Oryzias latipes: one gene and its partners. The protein of the gene in region 2 interacts with the protein of the main gene of each other region in a pairwise test. Links are inferred from orthologs where the notes say so. Each region holds a gene or a part of one and is shown on either strand. Other genes may lie near its edges.

Region 1 (4,175 bases), on a different chromosome or scaffold from region 2:
GACCCAGTTTAGGCTCCGGGAGCCCCGAGACCCCAAAAAAGATAGAGTAGGTTAAGAAAATGGATGGAAAGACAGAAAATAAGACACATTTTTCAGGAAAGAAGGGTCTTTTTCACTTCCTTAAGACTCCGTTTTTGCTGTTTAAAACAAAATGCAGTTAACAAACAGATCTTTGCATTTGACTTTAAAAAATAAACAGAACTTTAAGACTACATTCATTGAAGTGGACTCTGGTCTCATTTACACAACGATAAATTCTTGTGTTTAATTTTTCAAAAAGTGGGGCATTATTTGTCTTTTGTTAAAGAAATCTTCAGAGCTTTCCACAATTGTAACTTGCAAAAATTCCTTTCATAGAGGGAATGTGTGCTCCTGGCAACCATACCATTTCAAACAGGCTTGTTGGAAAGGATAACAGGAAGCGACCCTTGTAAGCCACTGTTTTTGTTTCCTGTAGGACTGAACTTTAAGAAAAAGTATCACCGATTGAAACCTGTACATTCCAGAGCATCAAGAGTGGCTTTGTGCATCCACACCAAACTGGACAAGGTCTTTATTGTATGATTTTGAGCCTTAGCGCTTTTGACTAATAACTACACAGCCTGAAAAAAGCTTGATTACCTTATTGGGCCAAATCAAATACTTGCAGAGATTATTGCCAATGCATTTAATATTGGGCCTTTTTCCACACATATTGCAAACTCCATAATTGAGGAAACAAATCAAATTTAACTGGTTTTCAAGCAAATCCTATTAGCTTAATACCAGTTATGAAATTGTGTTTGACAACAGTTGTACATAAATGCTTTGAAGTCAATGCATGTGTTGAGTATGCAATTATAATGAGTTCTATGACATTTTTAAAGCATTTAAGTTTGAGGATTTATTACATGTTCATCACTAGCAAGTTAAACATAGAATGGCACACTTTCTGCTTCATGTGACTAAACTGCAGCTAAAATTCAAAATCTGCTTTTCATGTGTCATATAGTCATGAAACATAGTTTTGGAAACGGTTCTTGATAAAAATTACTGTTTTTAAATGATAAGTCCAAAAAATGAGTGGACATTTAAACTTCCCCAAATTTCATAAATAAATACAATAGTTAATATTTGCTGAAGTGTTTTCACGTTTAGGAACATTTTTATTGTGGTACTCGTTTCTTTTAACCTATTTACGCATTATTTATGGTCAAAATACTTATAATTCTTGTTTTGTTTTGTTTTCCCAAGTCCTTTATATCTAAAATGTTTCCCCAATACCATAAATCTGTGTCATAATTAAAAGCCTGCAAAGGCGAGAGTAGTTAAAAGTATTTTATTTTCCTGATTCAACTAATTTTAAAACAGTGTATATGAATTAAAGTCCAATGTAAATGACAGTATTGGAAGATTGTTTGTTTTTCCAATAAATGGTTATTTTAAAGTAAAAATTTAATTAAAACACAATTTTATGTTTATGTAAAACAATTATCACTAAGGCTAATGACCACCTTCTAAACAAAGCATGTGTGCTTGGCATTGCTGTATTTTTCTTTACAAGCTGTGGCTAAATGGCATAACAGTTAAACTCAAGTCTCCCCATTTAATTTTTTAATTAAATCAAAATACAAATAGATTTGTTTACGTCACTTTTAGCAAATACTAATTTGGATGTATAATTTAATCAAATGTACTTTTTTTGTATATGGATTGGGGCAAAAGTAGATCAGACTGGCAATTTTATGACATTAGTTGATGCACTTTGAGAAATACTTTCACATTCATACACATGTCAATGTATGAATTTGTTTCAAAGCAATTAAGATGTGATAGTTTAAAAAAAACGACCAGAAATGCCTTACTATTTGTAAACTGGTGGTTTATCTTAATAATGATAAAGCCAGACTTTGTTCAAGCCTTCTACCTTTCATTCCACTAAATATATTTCATCTTTGCCTTGCTAGTAACGATGCAGTTATTTAACTGTATGCTATCAGTATCAGTAAATGGGAGGAGATTTAAATTAATGAACTAAACAATTGAAGGAACATAGGTCCTGATAGATGTTGATTATTGTTTTTCAGGAAAAGTACAGTTTATTACAACTGCATGAGATCACAGCTGTGCATTATAACAAGTTTCGATTAGCACAGAGCAGTGATGTACTGGCAATGGCTAAAGTTAGCACAATCCGATTTGAGAGCTAAGCAACGCAAACAGAGCGCTATTTCAGCTAGCTTAGTCGTTAGCATGCTAGTTAGGCCTACAGGCCGCTGAAACGCAACGAAGTATTTGCTAAAACGTAAAAAATTAAAATAAAATGAAAGATGATTTTGACTTGGATTCGTAGACCATTGCTCACACACGTCAATTGCACGGTGTAAGAGTGGGCTTATATTACCGTGTGAATGACGAATTCTCGTGTTGTTTCTAGAGATTCCGATAACGGCGTCGTTCCTCGCGAGAGATGAGCTCGTGCCTTCCTGTGCTCCTCCGCCGACTGGCTGCGACCGCCGAGACAGCCTGTAGGGGGAACGTGCCGACTCTTCATTAGATATGAGATCAGCGTCAGGGTGTAAAGTTTTCTTTTAGAAAAACACTTTGACACTTTGCTCAAAACTACCGACCGCCTTAAAATCTTATGATTAAAGAAATGCTCCTTTATATGAGCGGATGTTTACTGAACTATCAAATTTAAGTTTGTTTTTAGGATTACTTCCTCACAAACTAAAAAATAAACAAAGGATCCTGCACATGGATGTCTTTCGTTATTTTTTAAGCCAACGATTTGAGCAGAAAAATCAACGCTACCAGCAATATCTCGTGTAACAACTGCAGGGGGAAACTATTTAAAGAACAAAGTATAAAACTGTTATCAGCTGAACAATTTCGAGATAGTTTCAGATACTCTGTGTTCTGATTTGAACAGTGAGGGAAAATAGAGAAAATGACACACCATCAACATTTAAGACAACACACAAATTATTTAAAAAGAAATTATACAAATATTATATATATATATATGCAGATCTTTATATATTAAAGATCTGCAAAACCAGTCATTTAAAAACATTTTTTTAATTTAATTGTTAGAGAGACACTCTTGTTGCCATGTTTGTGATTCAACGTGTGTTAATACACGTTTGTTCTTTATCCATGTTTTGTTTATGTATTTTATTTATTAATTTATTTAGGTGTTGTATGAAGCCCTTCAGTCCTGCATTAGCCAAATTGTAATCAAGTGAAGGAGGCCGTATTTGTAAATAGTTGAATTGATGAATCCATTTATTTTTCTACAATCCAACCAGATCAATCTGTCTGAGGCAATTTGGTAACTGAATCAATATACCATCATAAACTTTTTTCAAAATGAAATAAATTGATTATATTGATATTGGGAAATACCATTTGGATTGAGGCACAGAAGGTTTATTTTACTATAACATAAAAACGACCAAATGCCATCACAGCAGGCAACACACGGGAAGGCACCAAAACAGGATCAAGACATCAAGCTATTGCTTCTTCACTTCAATGTATTGAAACCCCCCTTTGAATTTTGCAAAGACACGTGATCATATGGCATAATGTTCTAATCATTTTCTTTCCTTTTGGACTTTTCCCTTCAGGGGTCGCCACAGCAAATCACCTTCCTCCCTCTAACCCTGTCTTCTGCATCCTCTACTCTAACACCAAAAACTGTCACGTTTTCGTTCACTGCATCCACCTCTTGCCTGGCAGCTCTAGACTCATCATCCTTCCATCAATATACTTACTCACTGCCTCTCTTCTGGACACTATGGTCCAAACCATCTCAGTTAGGTCTCTCGACTTGATCTCTAAAACCTTTAACATGTGCTGTCCCTCAGATGTACTCATTCCTTATCTAATCCATCCTGTTCACTCCCAAGAAAAACCTCAGCATCTTCATTTCTGCAACCTCCAGCCCTTTTCCTGTCTTTTCCTCAGTGCCACTTTCCTTTGATTTGAGCTGAAACTCTTCTATCATATGAGGTTCCATTTGTGCCAAAAATATGTTTTTGTGTCCACTGTCTATGTCTTTGGTCCCTTGTCTATGTCTACTGAACGAGTTCATTGACCTTTGGTTCATGCGTTATGTTTAAAACTTTGCATTTGTCTTTCGTCGTCAGAAAAGTCCTTTGTACGGTCGGTTAATTGTTTCCTGTACTACC
Region 2 (3,564 bases):
GTGAAAGAGGGTTTCGAGTTGGAGTTGAGAGGCTTGATGGTCAGCTGTTTGGAGGGTTCTTTGGAGGGGACCAGGTGGATCGGTACAAACTTTCCCTCCCCGCTGAGGGTCACCGTGGGCCTGAGGAGGAAGAGTATTTTAAGAGTTGCACACCATCAAAATACAGGAAATAACACCACAACAGGAAGGTAGGCGAGATTACACAACTTGTTTTATTTTTGGAAGACAACTTGCTGCATTTTCTTTCACTGATTCACTTAGAAATCTATCGTTAGTAAAATATGGAAACTCAGCGTGCCTAAATGCAGATTAAAAAAAAAAAAAAAAATCAATAAATTGTCTTTTTTTTTAATCTGATACAATCTTAACACTAAAACATTAACTAATAAGAACAAATATGTAAATTATCAAACTAATTTCTAGCAGTAAAAACCTGTCGGTACATTTAGAATAAAAAAAATATTATTTTGAACACCAACTACTTTATTTTTCTGCAGATTTTGATGAGTGAATGTTGTCTTTACCTGTCAGAACTGCACTTCTTAGCTTCTTCTTCACTTTGATCTGAAACTAAACACATTTATCAAAATACTTTGCTTAATTCTATGAATATTATTTTGTTTTTTTAGGAAAACAAACAGACTAACAATAAATTTCTACAGGAAAAAAACAACAACAAACGGACAGAATTAGTTTATTTTTTTAGTTCAATCCAGTGGTTTGTCCTGGACTAAAATAAAATAAAAGTAAAAAATTTCCACAGTAAATGTTGGACTGAGGATAAAGTGCACAAAAACTCTACCTTTGCTTAATATCCTTGCAAATCCATGTGACGGATTCTCGTTCAGGTGGTTTGCTATGACATCGCCTCTGAAGCTGGAAAGCGAGCATGCGACGCATATTACTTCCTCAGACAACCTGAAAATAGAAAAATAAAAAGCCCATGATGAGATTTAATGAGCTGCAGATGAGAAGGAGCTCTTTGCCTTCAGAGTGAGATTCTGTGGGAACCTTGGGTCGGGCTGGAAGATGACTGGAAACTGCCGGGCTCTCCTGCTGGTGGTGTGATTACTGCGCCAAAGAAATTCAACAGTTTTAGAGATTCATTTTTAAACAGCCTTTAGAGAAATACATTTAGAAATGGAAGATCTCTGAGGAGCTGTCATACTTGATCATGTGGTTGGCGTAGGAGGCGGAGCAACAGGTGACAAATCTGCAGAGGGAGCAGCGGACCACAGATGGAAAGTGACGTTGGAAATCTGGAACGGAGGCCAGACACTCGATGCAGGACTGAGACGCCCTGCAAAGCAGAAGCAGACGTTTAAGAGGCTAGAATAAGACACGTCTTCTATAAAAGTATAAATGTGTCCGGGTAATTATAAATTTAAGAAAAAAAAAAGATTAAAGATACCTCTTCTTAAAAAAAAAGCAGCACTTTATTCTCAAACACAAAATCAGAGCTGACGGATTCAAGTAAAAGCCAAGATAAAGGGTAAATCATACGGTGCATTCAGGGTCCCACACTTTCACGAACATAAACTAAAGATGTTTATAGTTTCAACAGCCTCCACACAAAACATTAAACATGAGTGTTTGCATAAGAAAGTGGACTTCAAGTATGTAAACAGAGCGGCTGAATGTTAAATATCCAACATTGAAACAAATCAAGCAGTAAAACAGACCTGAGAAATGCGAGAAGTTGTGGCAGAATAAAGAAACGAGTCGCACAGCAGATAAAAGAGTCTAATAAACAACAAAAAAACGATTATATGCTGATAATATGTTGCATTATTTCTGGAAAAAGGGCCTAATTTAAATCCATGTTTGTAGCCAAAACAACTTAAAACCAAAACTATAATTTCTCTTTTTTAATAAGCAAAAAACAGATTTTCTGATGTGATTTTACTATGAAAAAAAGAGGTTAACAAAAATTCAGACTGTTGAATATTTCCAACCACAACAGAACAGGAGGATCAGCATGCAGAGGCGTGGAACCTGTACCTGTCCGTTTTCAGTCCCGACAGTCTCAAACCCTCGACCGCGTTCTTCTTAGGAGCTTCCTGAATGGGAGGAGGCGAGGAAACATTTACAACCTGGAGATCAGAAGAAGAAACAACAAATACTGTTTTTTTTTTTTTGGCTTTCGTTCAAAGCTCAGCCAATGACTGTATCCGAGAATGAAGTTATTTTCTCACAAAACATCTATGAACGGTTGCTTTCAGTGTGGTTCTCTGGAGAACTAAACGCTCAAAACGTCTTTGCAACGTGTCAGCGTCTCGTCTTTTTTAAAATGTCAGAATGATGCATTTCTTTATGAAATATTTTTGCTTTGTTGCATAGCTCCTTCTTTTGCAAAACGTTGTCTGATAACCGGAAGACTCCCAAGAAAACAAACATTTTTTGTTTATTTTAATGGATAAGAAAATGGTGTGGAAATTGGAGGTGGAAATTTCTACAATTTCTTCAAAATGTTTTGATGTCAGCAGATGAAACATGGTTTCGGTACAGGAACCTGCTTCAGTGGAAGTAAGACAAAAGTAAGAAAAATAAAAGCTTTGGACATTTTCAGAAAGAAAAGAATAATATATAAGTCTGCCGTTGCAATTTCTTATTATTCTTTAGCAGGGCCACTTGTGTTTTTAGGAGAGTTCACATGAACTGTTCTACTAACAAAGAAAGATTAATGGCTTTTCAAACATCACTACTAGGACTGTGCATTTTTGCTTAGGTGGCGATTTGATTCACTGATGGAACTACGACTCTTACTTTTTAACATAATGTATTTGTTGCATTATGTATGTCTTTTTACTGGATGTATAAAATTAAAAGTTTTCTGTATTAAATCACCATCATTCATACCTTTATTTAGAACAGGAGATCAGATTAAAAAAAACTGGGTCCTGCTTTTCTTCTTTACTTCCCTTTTTTGTTGTGCTGCATCTCAGAGCGAGGCGGCTTTTCTATAATTCAGAATCCGCTAGAATTACGTTGCGTTGAAGAGTTACTGTATTTGAAAGAATGTAAGAAACTAGGGGCTAAAGCAAATTTGTGTTTTTTTATGTCAGTAAATGGAACTTCAGTGTCATTTCTTTCAACTACAAGAAAACCTTCGATGGTTTTACTTTGAAAATGGGGAACTTCATCGACATTTCATTTCGAAGATTTGCTTACTTTCTGCCTTTTTTGAGTTTATACACTTAAAATCCAACATTATTCTGCATTCAGAGCAATAAATACATCGTTTTCAATGTTTATTTTTTACTACACTATATTTATACAAATCGCGAATCAGCGATCTTGGACGTTGCGAATATTCAGATCGCAAGTATCCGAGTACTCGCATACTCGTTACACTATACAGTGTAACTAGTCATATTTATACAAATCGCGAATCAGCGATCTTGGACGTTGCGAATATTCAGATCGCAAGTATCCGAGTACTCGCATACTCGTTACACTATACAGTGTAACTAGTCAATACTGCAAAAAAACAAAAATAGCCATCCAAATGATCATTAAGTTCTTGATGGAGTTTGGAAAAAATATATCTATATAAAATACTAC
Region 3 (4,342 bases), on a different chromosome or scaffold from region 2:
ATATATATTTAACCATTTTATTGGGTATATAAGATCGGGTATAAATTACCCAGCAAATGTAGTGGTGTAACTTTTTGTGGTGAAAATGGTCTAGGGTTAAAGTAACCTACTGGGATAAAGAGTAATGCTATAGCACAACTCCACCTAGTGGCCAAACTGAAACGCACCACAGGAGAGGCAGAACACAATGATCAGCACAATTTTACAGTGTATGAACTGCATCAGATTAATATGAATATCTATAAAACATATATAGATTATTGTTGTATATTCATACAAATATGTATAAAGGTGGAATCTGTGTCAATTCAATATTGAATTGAATTGGGTGGATCAAAAAAAATAAAAAAAATTGTAAATAGAATCGATTCTAAAGATTTTGGGTGATACCCAGCCCACCTACCAAGAACTTCAGACGTCAAAAGATGAATACACTGTGAGCATATAGATACATTTATCTTTCTCTTATCTTATACAATTGACACTATCACTAAAGCATTTGGTTGTCACTGTTGTTCAAAATATATTCCGAAGATATACATTTATTTTTTAAGTTGGCTAAGCTGCTTTTAAACTAAGGTCTTAAAAAAATAAAAGCCCACATTCTGATTCAGAGACTTTTAAACAATCTGACTAAAGACTAACTTTACTCGAGGCAAGAAAACAGTGAAAGTGGTCAGGAAGCAGATGTCAGAATTGTATTAATATTAGGGGTCGATTCATATCATAATTTGTGCTTGCTTATATGATTCATAGTCGATGTTGGTTTATTTTGAACGATCCGATTCACTGACCTAAAATGGGTCAGGACATCTTTATCTAAAAATTCAACCAGTGTGACTCTACCTAAGTACTGAACAGTGCAGGTGAGGTTTTCAAGATTCTTTGTCTTTATTGCCAGAAAATCAAGTGTAAATTACATATGTATACAAACAAGTAAACAAGAATTAATGGGAAATCCATTCACATTTTTGTTTCATAAAGTTAAGCCCACCGCTGTCTTGCCACATCAAAATAATCCAAAGGGAACATTTTTAGAATATTCCAGCACACTGTATGGTCCCATGTCTTGGCAAAGTTCAAAGTGTTTCCACACAGTGGACTGTAGTGATGGATTGACCATTTTTGGCTGCATCACGTGTGTTGTTTGATGTGATGGCACTTGGTTGTTATAAAAAAAATAAACATGGCATGTCTCAATCCAATTAGTATTTTCCATGATCGATATAATTGATTTATTTCATATTGAAAAGATTTTATAAGGGTATAGACTGATTTGATTAACAACTTGCCTCAGACAGATTGATGCAATTAGATCATTGGAATTTAAATAGATTAATCCATTAAGTGGATTATTGTTACACACCCAATTAATAGTGTGTAGTGGGCTGCTCAGAAACCAGAATTGAATACTACAGAAGAGTCGCACTTTAAACCAAAAAATTACATAAAATATGACAAATCTGAGTGCAAGCATATGAAATTTGATGAAAGACATAGAATAACAAAAATGTAAGATTTACTTTTTAGTTAATCACTCTGCAACACTATTTAAATGTACAAATCTGTTTTATCAATAAATGTTTGTGTAATACTGAAAAAATGAACCTGGTTAATTGTATATTTTTTTGACTGTCACGAAAGGAACAAAACAGGTCAAGTCAACTAATCTGGTTCACCTTGTAAAAAGTTTGCTGTGTTTACAAAGTCCTGAAGTCCTTTCTCAGTTGGGATCTCCCCCTCTGGGCTGCAGACATGCATCACCACTTAGCTGTGGTGTTGAGGCTGGTTCCTGCCTGTGATTCTGTATTTGGCTGGCTATGCAGCTATTCACTGTGAGAGGGAGGTCCCAAATATTAGGTTTTACTCAACCAATATTTGGCTTTCGTGCTCAGCCTATTTCCAATTGCCCATCCCCATTAGCCAGGAGGTGGAAGGTTTGAAAGGGGTGGGGTGTGTGTGTGTGTTAAGGTTTGGGGAGGGGGTTCTTTTCATTTTTGTATGATTAATTTTGTTTTAATGTAAAGCGCTTTGTGTTGTGTTTTTATAGGAAAATGCGTTATAAATAAAGTTTGATTTGATTTCTCGGCTGGCGCACGCGCGCGCTCACCTGCTGTTGGATCTGTCCGTTGGCGGTCTGCACAACAATCTGCTCCCCTGTCGTAGTGGTGGCAGACGTGTACTGCTCCATCGCTGCTGCTTTTTGACGCAGTCCTCTAATAAAAGAAAAAACACAAACAGTTTAGCCTAAATATACAATGTCCTTTAAAAGGGATGTTATCAGTTTTTTTAATCTAATTTAATCAAGCATTTTTCTTTCTACTAAAAATGTAGTGCCTTATTTGACAACGTAATCATCGCCATTTTTTATAATTTTATTTCGTAACACTGGCTTTTATTGAGTCGTATATTGAATTTTTTATTTGATCAATGTGTATTAAGATACATTAAAACATGCTATAAAAATCACCCGTTAGCTGTGTTTGGAAGACGACCACCTAGCTTAGCTTAGCGCCAAAGCTAGGTAAACACCATGGTAAATTCTAGAAAGAACAAAATGGATGCTCAATTTTTAGTATGGGGACAATCGATCGGTTTTGACGGCTTTGGCGTTTCCCCAGTTGTTAAATATTTGCTAGGTCGATGAGACAAACGGGTGGAACTAGGGGAACATTATATGCCCTTTCTTTGTTTGGGAGTTCTTATTTTAGCGTAAGCTAACGTCAGACCAACAGAGATTATGTTACCCCGCTGCAGTTAACATAGATCATTTCGAGGCCGTTGAGAACTTAACAGAACCAGGACAAAGCGGTCAAACTCGAACAGCAATTTTGATTTTTTTGCAGTTAGCAGGGTTAGTAATTTGGTTGGTCCATGACAAACCAATCCGTGCTGACAACTACCAATGCCTTCAATCGTGGCTCCCTTACCGTAGCTTCGCTGTCCGGTTTCCCTCTGATTGGCTCTAGTACAGCTCGCTAAAACCCAATCAACAAAGTGAGCGGACAAAATGGCGCAAATGAAACAACGGCGGTTGGGAGGAGGTGCACAGCTGCGTGGCACATGACTGCGGGGACTGCGCAGGCTGCATTACCTCTGCTCCCCAGCAGATGGAGTCATTCAACTCTCTGACACAGTTAAGAATCTAATTGTTTCAAAGTAAGCCTAGATGCTGTAGTGACATTCTTTTTTTACCTTCTTTTTTCATTTTTAAATTCAAAGAAACAGAACACCAAGCTATGGTTGTCCTAAGTATATACCTATAGGCAACATCAGAGGTAACCTGACATGGGAAGCCCATGCTGAGCTCATAAAGAAAACCCAAAGTCTACTTTTTCAAGGCTTAGGGAAAAAAACAAAAACTCTTCAGGTTTGGTGGTGATTTTCCACTGCATTATGAAAAGTGTGCTGCCATACTGCATCTGTATTTGGTTCTCCAGCTGGACTTCAGCAGGGCAGAGTGCACAGGGTCACAGAAGTTGCACAATAGACTGTCTTGTTGTCCTCCCCAACAGGCAGAAACAAGACAAACTAGAGTACAGTTTCAATTTTAAAGTTGACGGATTAGTCTGGTGCCCTGATTTCACATTACATTTAAAGCACATAAATGATATTTTAAAACAATCTGTGACAAATTGTGAGAAATAGATTTCAAGATGCAGAAATACTACCTCTGTGGACAAGAAAACAAATAAATAACACATCAGTGCTTAACATTCAGGCATGGTCCCACTATGACTGTCTATAAATCCTTAAGAAAAAGAGAAAAAAATGAATCACAAAAAATGTATTGTGTGCAGCAGGTTGTACAGCACTTTCTTTACCAGTCCCTATTGTGTTTTTGTGAAATTCTTTGCATGTTTTTAAAATATTTTTCTACTTTTCATTTTTTACATTTATTTTTAGAAAAAAAATGTATACTTAATAAATGTAAATGGTTTCATAAGCGTTTTGTAGCCATAGACTCTCCACAAGGGGGCAGCACCGTTAAAAAAAAACACACTTTAAACTTCAGACTTCCGGAAACACTTCCGGGAATAGACGCAGAGAGTAAACAAATGTCAAGTGTAGATTATCGCTACATTTGGGACTGGTGTAAAAAATAAATGTAACTTGCAATAACAACTGAACAAAAACAAATCTAAATAGGCCAACTAAACATCACCAGGCAGGATCCGAGGGCGGACGGGCTACTTTTGTTTCCTCCGCGTGGAATACAAGTAACAAGGAGCATGGCCAGCAGGACTCTTCGGGTCCTCTGCCATTTTTCCAGGTCTGGTTCCCAATCAGTGACTCCTTCAGCTAATTATTTTAGCTGTAGACTTGCAAGCAGAGGGATCGG

What was found. The genes of interacting proteins can lie anywhere in the genome.
Region 1: the proteins of pogz (region 2) and banp interact in binary tests that used the Homo sapiens proteins (3 or more experiments, as listed by UniProt). The two-hybrid records come from large-scale screens. The link is inferred for Oryzias latipes from reciprocal best matches to the Homo sapiens genes POGZ and BANP.
Region 3: the proteins of pogz (region 2) and nfya interact in binary tests that used the Homo sapiens proteins (3 or more experiments, as listed by UniProt). The two-hybrid records come from large-scale screens. The link is inferred for Oryzias latipes from reciprocal best matches to the Homo sapiens genes POGZ and NFYA.

What each region holds. Positions count from the first base shown.
Region 1 is NC_019864.2:22,010,513-22,014,687, forward strand, and holds the start of banp (protein BANP), read right to left. Parts: upstream 2,865-4,175; 5' UTR 2,384-2,864; intron 1-2,383. UniProt on the Homo sapiens protein: Controls V(D)J recombination during T-cell development by repressing T-cell receptor (TCR) beta enhancer function. Binds to scaffold/matrix attachment region beta (S/MARbeta), an ATC-rich DNA sequence located upstream of the TCR beta enhancer.
Region 2 is NC_019869.2:4,546,629-4,550,192, reverse strand, and holds part of pogz (pogo transposable element with ZNF domain), read right to left. Parts: intron 2,094-3,564; coding exon 2,002-2,093; intron 1,301-2,001; coding exon 1,169-1,300; intron 1,072-1,168; coding exon 1,012-1,071; intron 919-1,011; coding exon 803-918; intron 571-802; coding exon 525-570; intron 121-524; coding exon 1-120. UniProt on the Homo sapiens protein: Plays a role in mitotic cell cycle progression and is involved in kinetochore assembly and mitotic sister chromatid cohesion.
Region 3 is NC_019865.2:10,737,902-10,742,243, reverse strand, and holds the start of nfya (nuclear transcription factor Y subunit alpha), read right to left. Parts: upstream 2,865-4,342; 5' UTR 2,765-2,864; coding exon 2,748-2,764; intron 2,217-2,747; coding exon 2,111-2,216; intron 1-2,110. Other genes in the region: ngrn (neugrin), read left to right, coding at 4,233-4,342. UniProt on the Homo sapiens protein: Component of the sequence-specific heterotrimeric transcription factor (NF-Y) which specifically recognizes a 5'-CCAAT-3' box motif found in the promoters of its target genes.